Linked DNA regions of Tamandua tetradactyla. The protein of the gene in region 1 interacts with the protein of each later gene in a pairwise test. Links are inferred from orthologs where the notes say so. Each region holds a gene or a part of one and is shown in the gene's direction. Other genes may lie near its edges.

Evidence for each region. The genes of interacting proteins can lie anywhere in the genome.
Region 2: the proteins of PER2 (region 1) and CRY1 interact in a two-hybrid assay, tested with the Homo sapiens proteins (5 studies listed by BioGRID, with this or other methods). The link is inferred for Tamandua tetradactyla from reciprocal best matches to the Homo sapiens genes PER2 and CRY1.

What each region holds. Positions count from the first base shown.
Region 1 is NC_135329.1:214,847,359-214,854,548, forward strand, and holds the start of PER2 (period circadian protein homolog 2), read left to right. Parts: upstream 1-4,186; 5' UTR 4,187-4,286; intron 4,287-7,190. UniProt on the Homo sapiens protein: Transcriptional repressor which forms a core component of the circadian clock.
Region 2 is NC_135333.1:23,633,904-23,641,704, reverse strand, and holds the start of CRY1 (cryptochrome-1), read left to right. Parts: upstream 1-4,785; 5' UTR 4,786-5,408; coding exon 5,409-5,566; intron 5,567-7,801.

The sequences.
Region 1 (7,190 bases):
AAGGACAAGGCACGATGGATGCAGGGTTCTTGGCCCCCTCCAAGACAGTGAGAGGTGCTGAGGGCTCTGGGGGTGCTCAGCAGGACAGGGGAGACAGCCTCAAGGTCCTAGAAGGGTGGCCGGGAAGCGAAGGGAACTCCTGAGCACCCCCGGCTCCCCAGAGTGCATGGCTCTCCTTTCAGTTAAATTCTTTGTTTTCTTTTATGGCTTCATGACCAGGAAGTTTGAGGTTTGAATCCTTTCTCAAGCGACACGATTACAAAGAGCTTCTTGGATGCAGTCAAAGCCAGGCCTTCCAGTTGCAAACAGATAGTAAGAGAAGTCAGTCCAGAACGTATTTTCTCATCAGATGGAGAGTAATGAAGAGGAGACTTAGGACACAAAGGCAGGATCTCGGGGCACCACTTTCTAAATTCATTTATATTTTTTGTTTTAAAATACGGTAATGGGGCAGGCAACAGTGGCTCAGTGGCAGAGTTCTCATCTGCTGTGCTAGAGACCTGGGTTCAATTCTGGAGCCTGCTCGTGCCAAAAAAAGAAAGAAAAAAAATACAATGATGAAGCAAGCAAATTGGTACAGAGAATTGTATAACAGAGACAAAGGTAGGGGAGTTTATTTGCATACCTGCAAAAAAATAAAAAGATTCTGGGGTACAGTATTTAAAAATAATAATTACCATGGAATAAAAGCTCACTGGACCCATTTACGATTTTTTAAAAAAGCTCTCACAGCGAACTACAATAGAAGGGAACTTTCTTTATGTGATAAAGGATGTCTACAAAAAAAAACACGTTAGAATGCCCAGCTTTCATGCAGGAGACCCGGGTTCGATTCCCGGACCATTTAACCAAAAAAAAACCCAAACCCAAACACCTGAGGCTGACGTCACGGAACACTGGGACAAGACCAGAAGCAGGAAGCTCAGTCTTGACACTCCTATTCAGCGCTGACCTGCTGGTTCTAGCCAGGGCACAAGTGATTTGATGTGAAGATGTCTTTTGCCAAAGGCCACCAGGAAGATGGATACCTGGCTCTCTGGAGAGTTTTGTGCCAAGACACATCGGTCCCTGTCCAGAGGGTCTTCTCCAGGGCGGGTGAAGCGAGGCTAGGGCTGCACATCCATTGCTGATGGTTCAATCCTGAGTTCTCGGGGCAAGGCCGAGAAGTGGGTAGCACAAACACATGCACACGTGTACAGGTCTGCCAAAGCACAGATCTATGTTTAGTTTTTAAAACTTAGCCTGCTCAGTAGGCGGATGTCACCGTGCAACTAACGTCTTTGCAGGGGTCTACCAGACCATGCACATCCAGGAGAAACACCTGCCCTGGGTCACCTGCCTGGCTCAGGTCCTTTCCCATCACCGGGAACAGATGGGTCCCTCTCTCCCGGTCATAGCTGCCCAAGCTCTCAGGTGCACCTCTGGAACAGGCTGAGGTTCTCCCTGCCAGGAGCTGCCACGCTGTCACGCCCAGGGTAGGTGGGTGTGAGCAGCTGTGGACCAGCAGCAGGCACGAGGACAGAAGGGGACTATGGGTCAGATGTCCTCATCTCCCACGGGCGTGTCCCTAAACTCAGGTAGGGGGCCAGAAAAAATGATAGCACCTGTCCATCTCTGTAGAGAGAATTTTCCGAGTCACCACCCCACATTCTCCCCCTTAGCCTGCTGTTCTTTGCCTTCACGACTCGGGCCCACCTAGCAGACCCCACAAACTGCGTGTCAGCACAGTACGTGGCACACAGTGGCTGCCCAGTAAAGGGCTGGCTGACTGAGGGCATGAGTGAATGTGAGAGCCAGTGAATGGTCAGGCAAGGCATGGGGGCCTGGGCACAGAGGGGCCCCCAGGCAGCACCCAGGCATGGGTGGGTGAGGCCTACGGGGGCCACCCCATTGGTGGAATGGGCTGGTAGGAATGGGCTAGGCAGAGGCAGGGCTGCCTTTGGTCAGGAGGCCTGCGAAGGCTGAGGCCAGAGGTCAGCTCCTCCCATGGCCAGCACTGCCCAGCAACTGGGGACCCCAGTTCCCCCACCCAGCTGCTGAAGAGCTGGCTTCCTTCTTGCCAGCCTGGCTCCCCCAGAGCCAAAGCAATTTCCCTGCCCAAGAGCCCTGTGCTGGAGAGACAGCTGGTCCTAAAGCACTTCCAGGCCAGCGTAGGCTCGTTGGGAAAGGATTCATTCCACTTCTGCCTCCAATCTGACTCCCCCAGCTTGCGCGCGCGCGCACACACACACACACACACACACAGTTGCTCACTATGGAGCCTCGGCGAGTGGCTGTCCTGGCTGTGGCCCTGCTTGTAGATGTTGGAGCCCCGCAGCATTCTCCTTTGGAGCTGGGCAGGAGGCTACTGGGCAGGCCCATATTGCACCCCAGCACAGAGCAAAATGGCCTCCAAACCTGCCTTATCACCCCTCCCACATCACAAACTCCTTACAGGCGGGGATCCCAGGAGATGCTGATTTGCGTGCCCTGCCCCCCCCCAACACTCGCTCATCAACAAATATTTGTGGAGCAAAGGAAAGTTTCCAAAAACCAGAAAGAAGAAACTAGCTGTGTGTCCCTGCAAATAGATTAATTCTAAAGAGCCCTGGAACCCCATATGTTTGATAGTTTCCAAAATAAATGGTTTCACTAGCTTTCTACCAGATTTATTGGTGGAAAAAGAAAAGGCTAAATTTAGGAAAGAGGTATTTAGGAAATTATTAGGCCGCAGGCCAAAGAAGAGCAGGACCAAGGAAAAGCTGAGCATGCAGGCGAATCCGGGAACGTTCCAGCTGTCTCTTCTTCCCAGAACAACGGTCACCACCATTGACGTCAGTGCCTGTGCAGAGACAAAAGGGCCTTTGGGTGTGTGCAGGGTGCAGCTGGGCCTGGATTTGCTTGGCATTTGCCTGTGCGTGTGTGTGTTAGGGAGAGCGGGCGTGGAGAGTGTTGAGGTGTCAGTGTCAGAGAAACGGGGGAGGGGCCACTCTACTGCAGGGAGCCACAAAGCAGGCGTCTGGGGGTTTACCTTGGCAGGATGGACCTATGACCTACATCTCTACCCTGTTGTGCATCTGTGTCCAGAGAAGTTGCACACACACCTTGTCAAGGAGAGGAAGAGAAGTGGCTCACTCGGTTTCTGAATGTGGGTTAGTGAGCTTTGAGACTTGTAGCTCAGTTGCCTGCAGGTTACCGGGTCAGTTTCCTTCCCTGGTCCCCAGGAGGGGCAGGAACAGGAAGGGCGGAGGGAAGTTGCGGGGAGGCTCCTTGGCAATCCCCAGAAGCCTGGCCTCCCCCATCAGACCCCCGCTGCCACTGATTTCCCAGGTGCCTTGGAGCCTATAGGCTGTGCCTCATCCCACTCACCCTCAGAGCTGCCGCCTCCATCACGTCTCTGGGGATGAGGCTGGCTCGCCTTAAGATACAGCCCCTGCGCCCAGTTAATCGAGTATGTGTATAGAAGTGCCCTTTTCCAGAGCAGTCCCTGTCCCCCTGATGGTACTGTTTGGGGCAGGCAAGGGCATCCCCCTCTATTTCTCTCTCCAATAGGTAACAGCGGCCCTATTTCCTGAGCCAAAAATTGCGACATGTTTTCAAACACAAGGAGAGTCCTTGGAAGCAGAGTGGCCTGGGGCCTGGGGCCTGGGGTCAGCCCCAGGGCGTCCAGCGGGGCGTGCGGGGGCCCTGGCGCCTTCCCTGGGCGGTCTGCGCGCGGGTCCTGAACGAGTGAGAATATGAATGAGTGGGAAGGAGCGGCTGAAGGCTCTCGGTCCCCGAATGCGGTCGCGCCCCTGGGCTGGGCTCCCGCGCAGTATCCGCTTCCCGGGGAGAGGCGCGCAGACACCCGCCGCGGCGCAGCCCCGCGGCCATCAGCCCCCACCCCCGCCCCGCAGTGGTACGCGCCACTCCGCGCTCCCCGAGCCGGCCGACGCGCCGAGTCCTGAATGGAAAACGCCGAGGCCGGAAGTGGAGGGGACCACTCGAGAGGAGGCGGAGGGGGGCCGCGTTTTCATTGACAAACCGACGCGGTGAACATGGAGTTCCATGTGCAGCTTATGTAAAGAGAGCGACACGCGCCGTAGCCAATGCGCTAGCGCGGCTTGCCGGCCCGGCCCCCCAATATGCAAATGAGGCCGCGTGACGGCCAATGGTGGGCGTCGGGGGCGGGCCCGGCACGCGCCGTCACGTTTTCCACTATGTGACAGCCGCGGGCCCGCGAGTTGGCTGCGGAGGCGCGGGAAGGCGCGGGCCGGTGCGGGCAGGCGCTCGGGGGGGCGGCGGGCGGCGGACGACGCACCTGGGCGGTGAGTGGGGCCGCGGCCGCGCGCGGGCTCGGCGGGCGCTGGAGCCGGCTGGGCCGACGCTGTCTTGCAGCCAGCCCGGAGCTTACGTAACCGCGGCCGGAGCCGGGCGGGCCGGGCAAGTCTGGGGTCCGTGCTGTGGGCGGGGCGGGTCCGCGCCGGACGAAGATCTGGACTCCGGGCTCCGGCGGGTCTGGGGTCCGCTCTGGGTCCGGGCGGCCGGGGGCATCGGGCTCCTCCTGACCGCGGAGACGGGAACCTAGAGTTCTCTGACCCCTCTCGGTTTGAAATGGGGCGTGGGGGTCGGGGCGCACAGAAGCGGAATGTGTTATCAGCAGGCATGGGGGGAGACCCCTCGTTTGCAGATCAGGAAACTGAAGTCCAGAGAGTTGAGGCAGCCTGGCCGAGGGCACACAGCTACTGAGTCAGCACCATACTGGACTGTCCTTCTTTAGATGATTTTTTTAAGGAAGACCTCTCCCCTGTCCCTGTGGAGACATGCGTGGGCAGGCCAAGGCCTCTGAGGGCAGGTTCCCCTGTCCCTGGAGCATGGAGGGCCCGTGGGGGGCGGTTTCCTGCTCTGGGGCCAGAGAACCAAGTCTTGGACTGGGAAGGGCCCCCCGGGAGAAGAGCCAAGGCCACTGATGGGGGCTTTGGCTGTGCCCCAGGCACTGGCCTACGGGCTTGACCTGGACAGCCCCTGGGGCCCTAGAATTGGTGAGCGGAGTGAAGAAAGGCCCTGTGCCAAGTGCCAAGCCAGGCCTGGGGACTCTCAGGGCAGGGCCTCCGCTGATGTTCACCCCCGCTGCCCCCCCCCCCGGCTTTCCCCCTGTATTCGTTCCCTCTCCCCACAGTGAGCTGGCAGCAGGGCCTGTCCCCAGGAGGGGTCTCTACTTGATGGTGGAGCAGCACCCCTCTGGGAGGGATACAGAGCGGGGGCCACAGCCTCCCTCCGCTCCAGGGTGACAGGGTGACGGATGGTGACTTGGTTGCCAGGGTTTCTGTAACCCACACAGCCAGGCTGGGGAAAGCTGATTCATACTCCCCGAACGACGGAGCCAGGAGGGGGCTGAAAACCATCCAGGGCTTGACGGAAGGGGAAAACGAGAAAGACCCGATATGTGCTGACATCAGGCCCAGGGCCGTGTCTTCAGGGTCTTTCTCTCCTGAGGGTCTCCATGTGGGTCAGCATGGGCTTCAGAGCTCCCGTGAACCCCGGAAATTGGGTGCGGACTCCCAAGTGGACTGGCATTTGGGAGGAGGGGCCTCCGGGCCCCCCGATGTTGAAAGCCTGGCAGGGTGGCAGAGCCCTTGCTGTGAGCACCGCTCACCGCTGCATCCCGCGCGGCAGGGCTACTCGCTGCTCCCCGGTTCCTGGTCCAGCGCGGGGCTCGAGGACTGGACTCTGCCTGCTCTCCAGACGAAGGCTTTAATTGGAAACTGAGTTTTTAAATCCAGGGCTAATCACTTTGTGGAAGGTGAATGAGTGAAACAAGGAAAATAAATCCACTTGTTGTTTGTAGAGTGAAAGCTCTATGATGTGCCCTGGGGTGGGGCGGGGGTCTGCTGGGCTGTCCTGCAGGCCACCTGGTAACTGTCACCCCCACCTCCCAGCTGTTCCAGGGCGCAAGAGTGGAGGGGGGACGCATGGCCTGCTGCCAGCCTGCTGCATCGGCTCCCCCGCCCGCCCTCGGTTTCCTCGCAGGCCCCGTGGGTCCTGGGGTGGCGGCAGCAGCCCCAAAGAGCACCCCGCTTCCGAGCAAGCGTAACCCTTTCAAAAATACTATATTTGGCAGAACTAACTGGAAACACAGTGCTGCAGCTGTTCCGACACTCTGCCCTTGCCCTGGCGGAAGCTTGCCCGCCTTCGGACCCAACAGAAAACCAGAAGGTGTGGATGTGGCCTCTAGTGGGCCCTTTCAGGGTGCTGGGGCCACCCCCTGAGCGCCTGCGCTTTCCTCCAGGGACTTGGGCCCTCACTGCCACAATGTGTGCTCTTCTGTACATTTGCTGTCGGGTCTGCTATATTGTTTCCAAGTCTAGAGCAAATTAGAAGCAGGGCCGGGGGCAGGGTCAAGGCCACGGCGGGGCCATCTGAGCTCCTCCTGGGGGTGGCCACACAGGGAGATCTGGTTCGGGTCCACTGCGTTCAGAGATGCTCCTGAAGAAACAGCCCTTCCTAGAGCGGGTCAGGTCAGGAAGCCTTGGTTATGTAAGGCGCGAACCCCAGCTCCCTAGAAACGCCATTGCCAGAGCAACCTCTCCCTAAGCAAGCCAGGAAGCTGACTTCTCTGCATTTTTGCTGGTTTGCAGCCTTTGTGTTGTACAGGCTTACGGTTTTCAGGGGCAGAGCCCAGAGTGCTTGAAGGGGCCTCAGTGTGGCTGAGACACCGCCCCGCCCCCGCCCGGGGCGCTCCTTCCCTCCGCTGCTCCCCTCTCCCAGCTCCCGCCGTCACCATGGAAGCACCGTGTTGTGTCGCAGGACAAACATTTTCTCCAGATTCTGGCAGGCTGGCCTCAGGGAATTGGCCTTCCTACCAGGAAGCAGCAAACTGCTTTCAGGTTGGGGATCAGAAGATGCCCCTGGGCTGGCAGGTGGGGGACAAGCTGTCTGATTGTGCTTGAGGCAGGCCAGGCGGGGCTTCCTGGGGACAGGGTGACCGGGCGCAGGGCTGTGCTGAATGACGCGCGACATTTCCGCATGGATCCAGCTGGCGAGGCTGTGGGCCCTGCTCTCTGATCTCCTCCTTAGGCCCCGAAGTGCAGGAGCCTTTGCCAGACCCGGTGGACAGACATGGTGGAGGGAGGCGCTGGGGCCCAGAATGAGCTTTTATTCCTAAATGTTTCTTTTTGCTACTTATTTTGGGAAGCACTGACTTACATGAAAGTAGAGAGGCTAGTGTAATG
Region 2 (7,801 bases), on another chromosome or scaffold:
AAGGACTTACACCCTACTTGGGGAGATTTAATGCATTTCTGGTTGTACGTAGGACAGTTGAGTATTGCTAGGCAAGGAAAAAATGTGTGTTATTACTTTCTAGTTAAAGATTAAGTATGGTTTAAGGTGATGTGTATAGCTGCCAAGTTTACAAGGGGTGGACAGTCATGGTCAGGTTCATGTGACAATTTTGCCAGATGGTGGTGCCCAGTCATTTGGTTGGGCAAGTGCTGACCTGTCTGTTGCTATGAGGACATTTCATGGACTTAAATCATGATAATGTTAGCTGTATCCACAGCTGATTGCTTTTGTAATCAGCTAAGGGGAGGGTCTTCTGCAATGTGTGGTGCTTAATCTAATCACTGGAAGGCTTTTACTGAGGATTCAGAAGAGAGAGTCACTCTTCCTGTCTCAGCCGGTGAGCTTTTCCTGAGGAGTTGTCGAGACCCTTCACTGGACTCAGCAATTTTCAGCCTGCCTCACAGACCTCGGACACTTACATTCCCACGGTTGCCTAGCCAGCCTCACCTGAGAGCTAGTTGAGGACCTTTAGCGGTTACCAACTTGTGATCTGCCTTACAGATCTTGGACTCTACATTCCCACGGTTATGTGAGACACTTTTACAAATTTTATATCTACGGATATCTCCTGCTGATTCTATTTCTCTAGAGAACACTAGGTAATACAAATGGATTATATATGTAACTGTTTTTTAGATTCTCCTTTTAACCCATTGTAACATCTTAACTGCTTTTCTCATTAATTAATGAGTTAAATGAAATTCTTTACATATGCTTATTTTATATTCATATGAGAGTTATAATTGTACCTTCTTAGAAAGTAAGTATTCTTTAACAGAATTAAATCCACATCCCAAAGACACCAGCATGTGGGTACTCGGCCAAAGGCTGAGAGCCTAAAATTCACATCAAATCACAACTGAATGGATTGGTTCTGAACTGTCTACTTCTTCAGTTAACATATCCCAAAACTTGGGCCTGGTTTACAGATGATTCTGCATGATATCCAGGTACCAACCGAAAGTGGACAGCTGCAGCACTACTACCCCTTTCTGGAATGTCCGTGAAGGACACCTCTGCAAGATGGGGTCAAGAGAGAACACAGGCTTTCAGTTTAGAGGCTGACATACTTCTATCAAGAGTGCTCATGAAATCATAGAGATAGTGATTTTTCTAACATTGTTGGCAATTAAAAGAATGTTTCACAGGACTGTTAGACATTTTTGAGCCCATGGCAGGATTGTATTCATAGAACTCCAGAATTTTAAAATTATATAGGTGTTTTAGTTTCCAAGCTGCTAAAATAAACACCATACAATTGGTTGGCAGAACAACAAGAATTTATTGGCTCACAGTTTCAGGGCCAGTATATTCAAGCTGGCTGGCATCTCGGGGGGTCCTTGGCTTTCCCTCACAAGACGCATGGTAGCATCTTCTCTTTCTTCTGGGTTCCACTGACTTCTAGCTTCTTGCCTTCCTGTGGCTTCTCCCTGTGTGTCCAACTTCCTTTGCTTATAAGGACTTCAGACATATTGGATGAAGGTCCACACTCATTCAGCTTGGCATACCTTAACGAATAACATCTTTAAAAGCCGACATTTACAAATTAGTCCACACCCAAAGAACAGGGGTTGGGACCTGAGCATGCCTTCTGTAGGTGTCATGATTCAATCCCCAACGGAGGAAACATAGAAATCATCTAGTTCGAGCCCCTCAATTTATGAATGGAGGCCTAGGTAACCTGTTCAAGACCATCAACTAACTAGCAGAGCTGGGATAGAAGCCAGTCTCTTCTTCTTAGACCCAGAGTCAACCAGAATTTCAAAAGTGACTTATGAGAACGCTCACTCACTCCATTTCTCACTTCTTTCACTCCTCATACATAAATGCTAATTCTCAAAGAGAAGGGAAGAGGGAGTCAGTGAGATTTAGTATATGATAAGGAAACAGTTTGGGGTTTATACAAATGCTGGTTTGAAACTGTCATGTACCCCAGAAAAACCATGTTCTTTTAATACTAATCCAATCTTGTGGGGCAGACCTATTGTTTGGGTGGGACCTTTTGATTAGGCTGTTTCCATGGAGATATGACCCACCCAGTTGTGGGTAGGACCTTTTGATTAGTTGGAGATGTAATCTCACCCATTCAAGGTGGGTCTTAATTAGTTTACTGGAGTCCTTAAAAGAGCTCGTGGAGAAAAAGAGCTCAGAACTGACACACAGAGCATAGAGATGAAAGCTTAGACACAGTTGTTCAGAGATGCTGAGAGAGCCATTTGAAACCAGAAGCTGGGACAGAAGGGCAGCAGATGTCTCCATGTGCTTTCCCACGTGACAGAGAAACCCTGGAAATTGGCCTTTCTTAAGTGAAGGATTCCTCTTGTTGGTGCCTTAATTTGGACATTTTCACAACCTTAGAATTGTAACTTGTAACTTAATAAATACCCTTTGCAAAAGTCAATCCATTTTTGTTATATTGCATTTTAGCAGCATTAGCAAACCAAAACATAGTCTTGATTTTTCATCCTGATTGTACTACTATTTATATTTTTGAGCTTTAGTTTCTCCATCAGCAAAGTGGGCATGTTATTATTAATAATAAAGTGTCTCATAAAATTATTATGAGGATTAATAATAGCTGATATAAAGCACCCAGCACACAGTAGGTGCTCAACAAGTTATAGCTATGATTAAATGGTAACTCTCCACCAAAACAAAGATATATTAAAATAATCACCCATGTGCCAAAAAAAACCTTCGGTCTTTGAGCAATGCACACTTTACAGTACTGATGCTTTTATATTAAAGTAGCACTGTAATGTTTAAATGAAAGTTACACCTACACCCACACACAGCTGTCTGTTAAAAATATCTTTTATTGAATGAACAATTCACAAACCCAAATCAACTCTATGTGGATCAATATTCCTTTCACTTCCCACTTTTTCATTGGGATGCTCAAAAACAATTCTTTTCTCTTTAGACAGTTTGCTTACTCACAAACAGCCTAACATGAAATGTAAAACATTGTATTTTTTAAAGTATGATAAGCCCTGGAACACCAGGGAATCCACGTAAGGGCTCTGTGGTGAGAACTTCTGAGTGGTAAGCCATTGGAGCTTTAGAGTGGTAAGGAATTACCCAGGGCTCCTCCCCATCGATACAAATACTAGTATTTGCTTAATACTTTATAGCAAACAAAAGGTTTCCATACATACACAATTTTAAATGGTCTTATAGAAACCAAAGAAAGAATTACTTTCCCTAAGGCAACAGAAGTAAGAGTTGGCTTCATAAATGTCTGAATTTACTTTATTGCAGTTTCCTTCCTCCTTTTTATCTTGCCCACCACAGTAGTGACAAACAAAATTCATTCACTTATTCAATAAACAGTTGAGTGCATGTGTCAAACTCTGTTCTTGGTATTGAGGAAACAAAAAAAAAAAATAAAACTAGTCAGGGATCTTCATCTTGAGAAGTCACATTTTGGTGGGAATCAGAGAGACACTTTTATGATAATAAGTACAATTACTGAATACCTACTTCGTGCTAAAAATTACAGTAGGCACTTTTCATTTAATCTTCATCAGGATAGTGTAACGTATGCATCAGACGCATGTATGACAGCTGGGAAGAGGCCTCAATCTGCCCTGAGAGACAAGCATAGTTTCACTAATTACATAGAAAGATGTGCAGAAATATTCCAGGCAGCTCAAAGTTCGTTCTAGTAAGGAGCCAATTCCAAAGAAGGGCATTTTATAGAGAAAAAAATTGCAAGTTCAAAAGTTAAGAGACATGGTAAACTACAGGAGTACTGGGATTTTTGTGTTGTTATATTTTCTCCTGTATCCCCAGCACCTCGAGCAGTGTCTAGTAAATAATGTCTCAGTAAGTAATTGTTGAATGAATACAGGCGTATCATAGGGCTAAGGAAATACTACAGCCTGCGGTTCATTATCGCTGGAAAGGTAGACAAGAATGAAAAGTAAGCCATACCAACTTTAAGAGATCAGGGGTGATGTGGTGATGGATAGTAATAAGGCTAGTTAAGAACAGGAATACTGGTACCCGCCCTGTTATTAACCCTTCTCCCGAGAAAAGTCCAAGGATGCCGCACCGTGAGGGACAGGAAATTGGTCGCTGCGCCAATCGACACTCACAAAGGAGGGCTCTCTGACCGAAGCTGGACTGAAGCACATGGTTTGGGCTCTAAATCTAAGTAGAGGCTACTACTCTTCTCCTTCCACCCCATCCTTCCCTCGTTCCTCGTTTGGTTCCACCACCTACTCAAAACACTCGAAACTGCATTCCGGCGATCCCCAGCACCACGCCACGAACCCTAGAGCGCGTACCGGCCCTGCCCCGCCCTTCTACTCTACAGGACGCCGTGAGAGCGCACGCGCGCCTTTCAGAACGAAGCGCGCACCCGCGAGCTTCCCGCATCCCCGTGCTCATCCGGGTCCCACTGAGTCTCAGCCAATGGTAGTGGCTCACGGCCCTCTGGGGCGAGGTTTAGTCTTCCCTCACATGGGGCCTATGATTGCTGCTGGCGCCTCCAGGGAACGGCGACCAAAAAGCGGAGTACAGGGCCTGAGTCAGGGAGCCCAACTTCTGGACGAGAGTCGACAGCTTTGGGGCTGAGGGACCTTACACCCTTAAAAGCACCCGAACCGCGAACAGATTCTTCAACCAGAGCCGGTGTAGTAAACACACTTCAGAAACGTGAGGTGCCGGTGGTCACATGGGGAGAGCGCCCACCAATGATGAGTCAGGGGCGGGGCCGAGGCCGCTGACGCGGCGGCGGCGGCGGCGGCGGAGTCACCCGGGCAGCCTCGGGATCGGTAGCCCACCGGCTACCGTCCAGCAGTCTAGACCCCGGCCTTCGTCTTTGCTGGTTTTTCCCCCGCCGAGAGGCAGCGTTGCTGACAATGGCTGAACCCTCTCTCCTTCCTCGCGGTGACTCGCCTCCGGCGGGCCATTTTCTCCTCACGGGCCGGCTCGGTGGGGCGAGGTTTCCGTGACCAACCACCTGGGACTGCCGGTGCCGGCTCCGGCCATCGTGGCGGTTCGAGCTCCTGGAACTTGCTCACACTCCGGGGATCCGAGGCCCTCGAACGTATGCGTGTCGTCTAGGCGATTGCGGCCGGCGTCGGGCCCTAAAAGGTGTCACTCCCGGACACCGCTGACTGGGCAACCTCCATTCGTCTTCCAGCTGCGCCTCCGGCGCAGTTTCCGCCGGTCTCCTCCTCGGAGTAATTTTTTCCTCTGTCCCCTCCACCGCCCTTTCCTCGCTCCTTGGGGGCGGCGATTCTCCTGGAAGCGAAGGTGTAGGTTATGAGCTGGATCTTCCTTGCTTAAATCGCTCTCTGGAGGGGCTCGTCGCCGGGATGGGAGTGAACGCGGTGCACTGGTTCCGAAAGGGGCTCCGGCTTCACGACAACCCCGCGCTGAAAGAATGCATTCAGGGCGCCGACACCATCCGCTGCGTCTACATACTGGACCCCTGGTTCGCCGGCTCCTCCAACGTGGGGATCAACAGGTGGCGGTGAGTGAATCCTGGGGAAAATTAATTCCGGTGTTTGATGAATCCGGACTTGATAAGCGATCAGCCGAATCCGAGAGTCTTGACCTGGGAGCGCCTTGCTTGTACTATTTAAGAATTGTAGGTGCTTTATGTTCGTATCAAATATAATTGACAGTATTTTTTCTGGCCAGAGAGTCAGCTTGGCCTTCATCTTTGTGTCACTACGCTCATGGGACCTCTTCCCCCTGAGTTTAGGGAGACTTAGCAGCGGTGGAGTTAAACAGCTTTTCAGTCCTTAGTGGCCTCGGGATTGATTTCCTGGGCCTCTTTGTGGCCTTCAAAAGGATCATTGTTTTTAATGTTTACGTTTGTGTAAGTAATTCATAGTATGAAAAAAAAATCATTCATTCAGTACAGTCGTCTCCAAATACAGTTTTCTTCCACCTTCAGGTTGCTGTAGGAAAAGCAAGAGAAGCATCATTATCTGGTTTCTCTATACTCAGTGTTCTTCTCAACTCCTCCTTGTGGTTGACCAGACAAAGCACACTTTTTCTTTCTAGGCAAAGTATAATCCTTCTAGGGACCAGAGATCTGAAAGAAATCTAAGAGAAGCTTTATTATCTGTTCCTGAAGTATCAGGCTAGGTGATTGTTGGACCTCCTGGTGGAAATAAAATTATTCATCTAACGAATAGAATAGTGGTCACCTCCTGTGTGCCAGGTACTGCTTTAAATGCCAGAGATACAGCAATGAAGGAAACAGAAATTCTTGTCTTCTTTGAGCGTATATCCCAAAATGTGAAATACGTAATATTTTAGGTAGTGGTAAATGCTATGGGGGCAAAAAGAGCAGAAAAAAGAGATAAGGAATATAGGGATGGGCTTTGTAATTTTAAATAGGTTGATTGGGGGAAACTCATTGAAAAGGTGATATTTGAACAAAGACATGAAGGAGGTAATGGAATGTGGATATGTAAGGAAAGAGCATTCCAGGCCGACGGAACCGTAAGAAAGAGAGCCTGAGGAGGAAACATGCTTGCCTTTGGAGGGAAAATGGGAGGAGTCAGTATTGACTGGAGGGGAAAAAATTAGGTGACAGTATAAGTGAGCAGAAAAGTAGTAGTAGTAGAAGAGGTCAGAGATGTAATAGGACCAGATTGAATAGATCTTTATAGACATTTGTCAAGATTTGTACTTTTACTGAGTTAAGTAGGAAGACGGGATCTGAGTTAAGTTTGAAAAGAATTTCTCTTGCTGTGATTCTGAGAACAGACAAGACTGGGGGCTGGAGGTGGACAAGAAGCGGGAAGACCATTTAGAAAGCTATTGCGTTCTTCTGGGAGAGAGATGATAAGGGTCTGGACTGTGGTGATAATGGAGGAAGTGGTGAGAAGAATTCAAATGCTGGGTGTATTTTGAAGGCAGAACCCCCAGTGTTTGTTGACAAATTGGATATGTTGGTGTGAGAAAAAGAGTAGTTAGGAATAATTTCAAGATTTTTAACTTGATAAGCTAGTGGGATAGAGTTGCACTTTGCTAAGAAAATGAAGTCAGAGAAGTCATTAAGAGGATGATTGAGTCCTCTTGGGCCTGGTTAAGTTTGAGATGGAGTGCTTTACCTATTTCATATGCTGCTGATAGGTCAAGGAAGATGAGGGCTGCAATTAAAAACTGAATTTAGCATTTTGAGGTCATTTGTAATCTTGTTGAGAGTTCAAGTGGTTTCAGTAGTGTCAGAAACAAGAGCCATTTTGGAACAAAGAGAGGTAGGGAGAGGGTTGGGGACAACTCACATGGACAGCTCTCTGGAGAACTTTTACTATAAGGGGATCAGAGAAATGGTGTGGTTCCTGGAGGGGGATGTGAAGTTGAAGATTCTTTTTAAGATGGAAGAAATTACAGTATGTTTGTATGCTGAAGGAAATGATACAGCAACTATATGTAAAACAATTTTTCATTAGCAGAAATAGTGTCATTAAACTTCACATCCTAAAGAGGCAGGGACTGAGTTATATTCAATCTGTTCTCATAGCACCAGATTGAGTGCGTTTTAGTAACTCAATTACTTTTTGTTGAATGAAGTGACATCCTGATGTCTGTAATTTTATATTTTAACAACTTTATTAATTTCCCTATTGACTATAGGATAAAGCCCAAATTCCTTACCTTGACATTCAAAATCTGCCTTTTGACCTTTGTAATCTCATTTTTTCTTTTCATATGTGACCTCAACTATTCAGGGAAAAAACAAACAAAC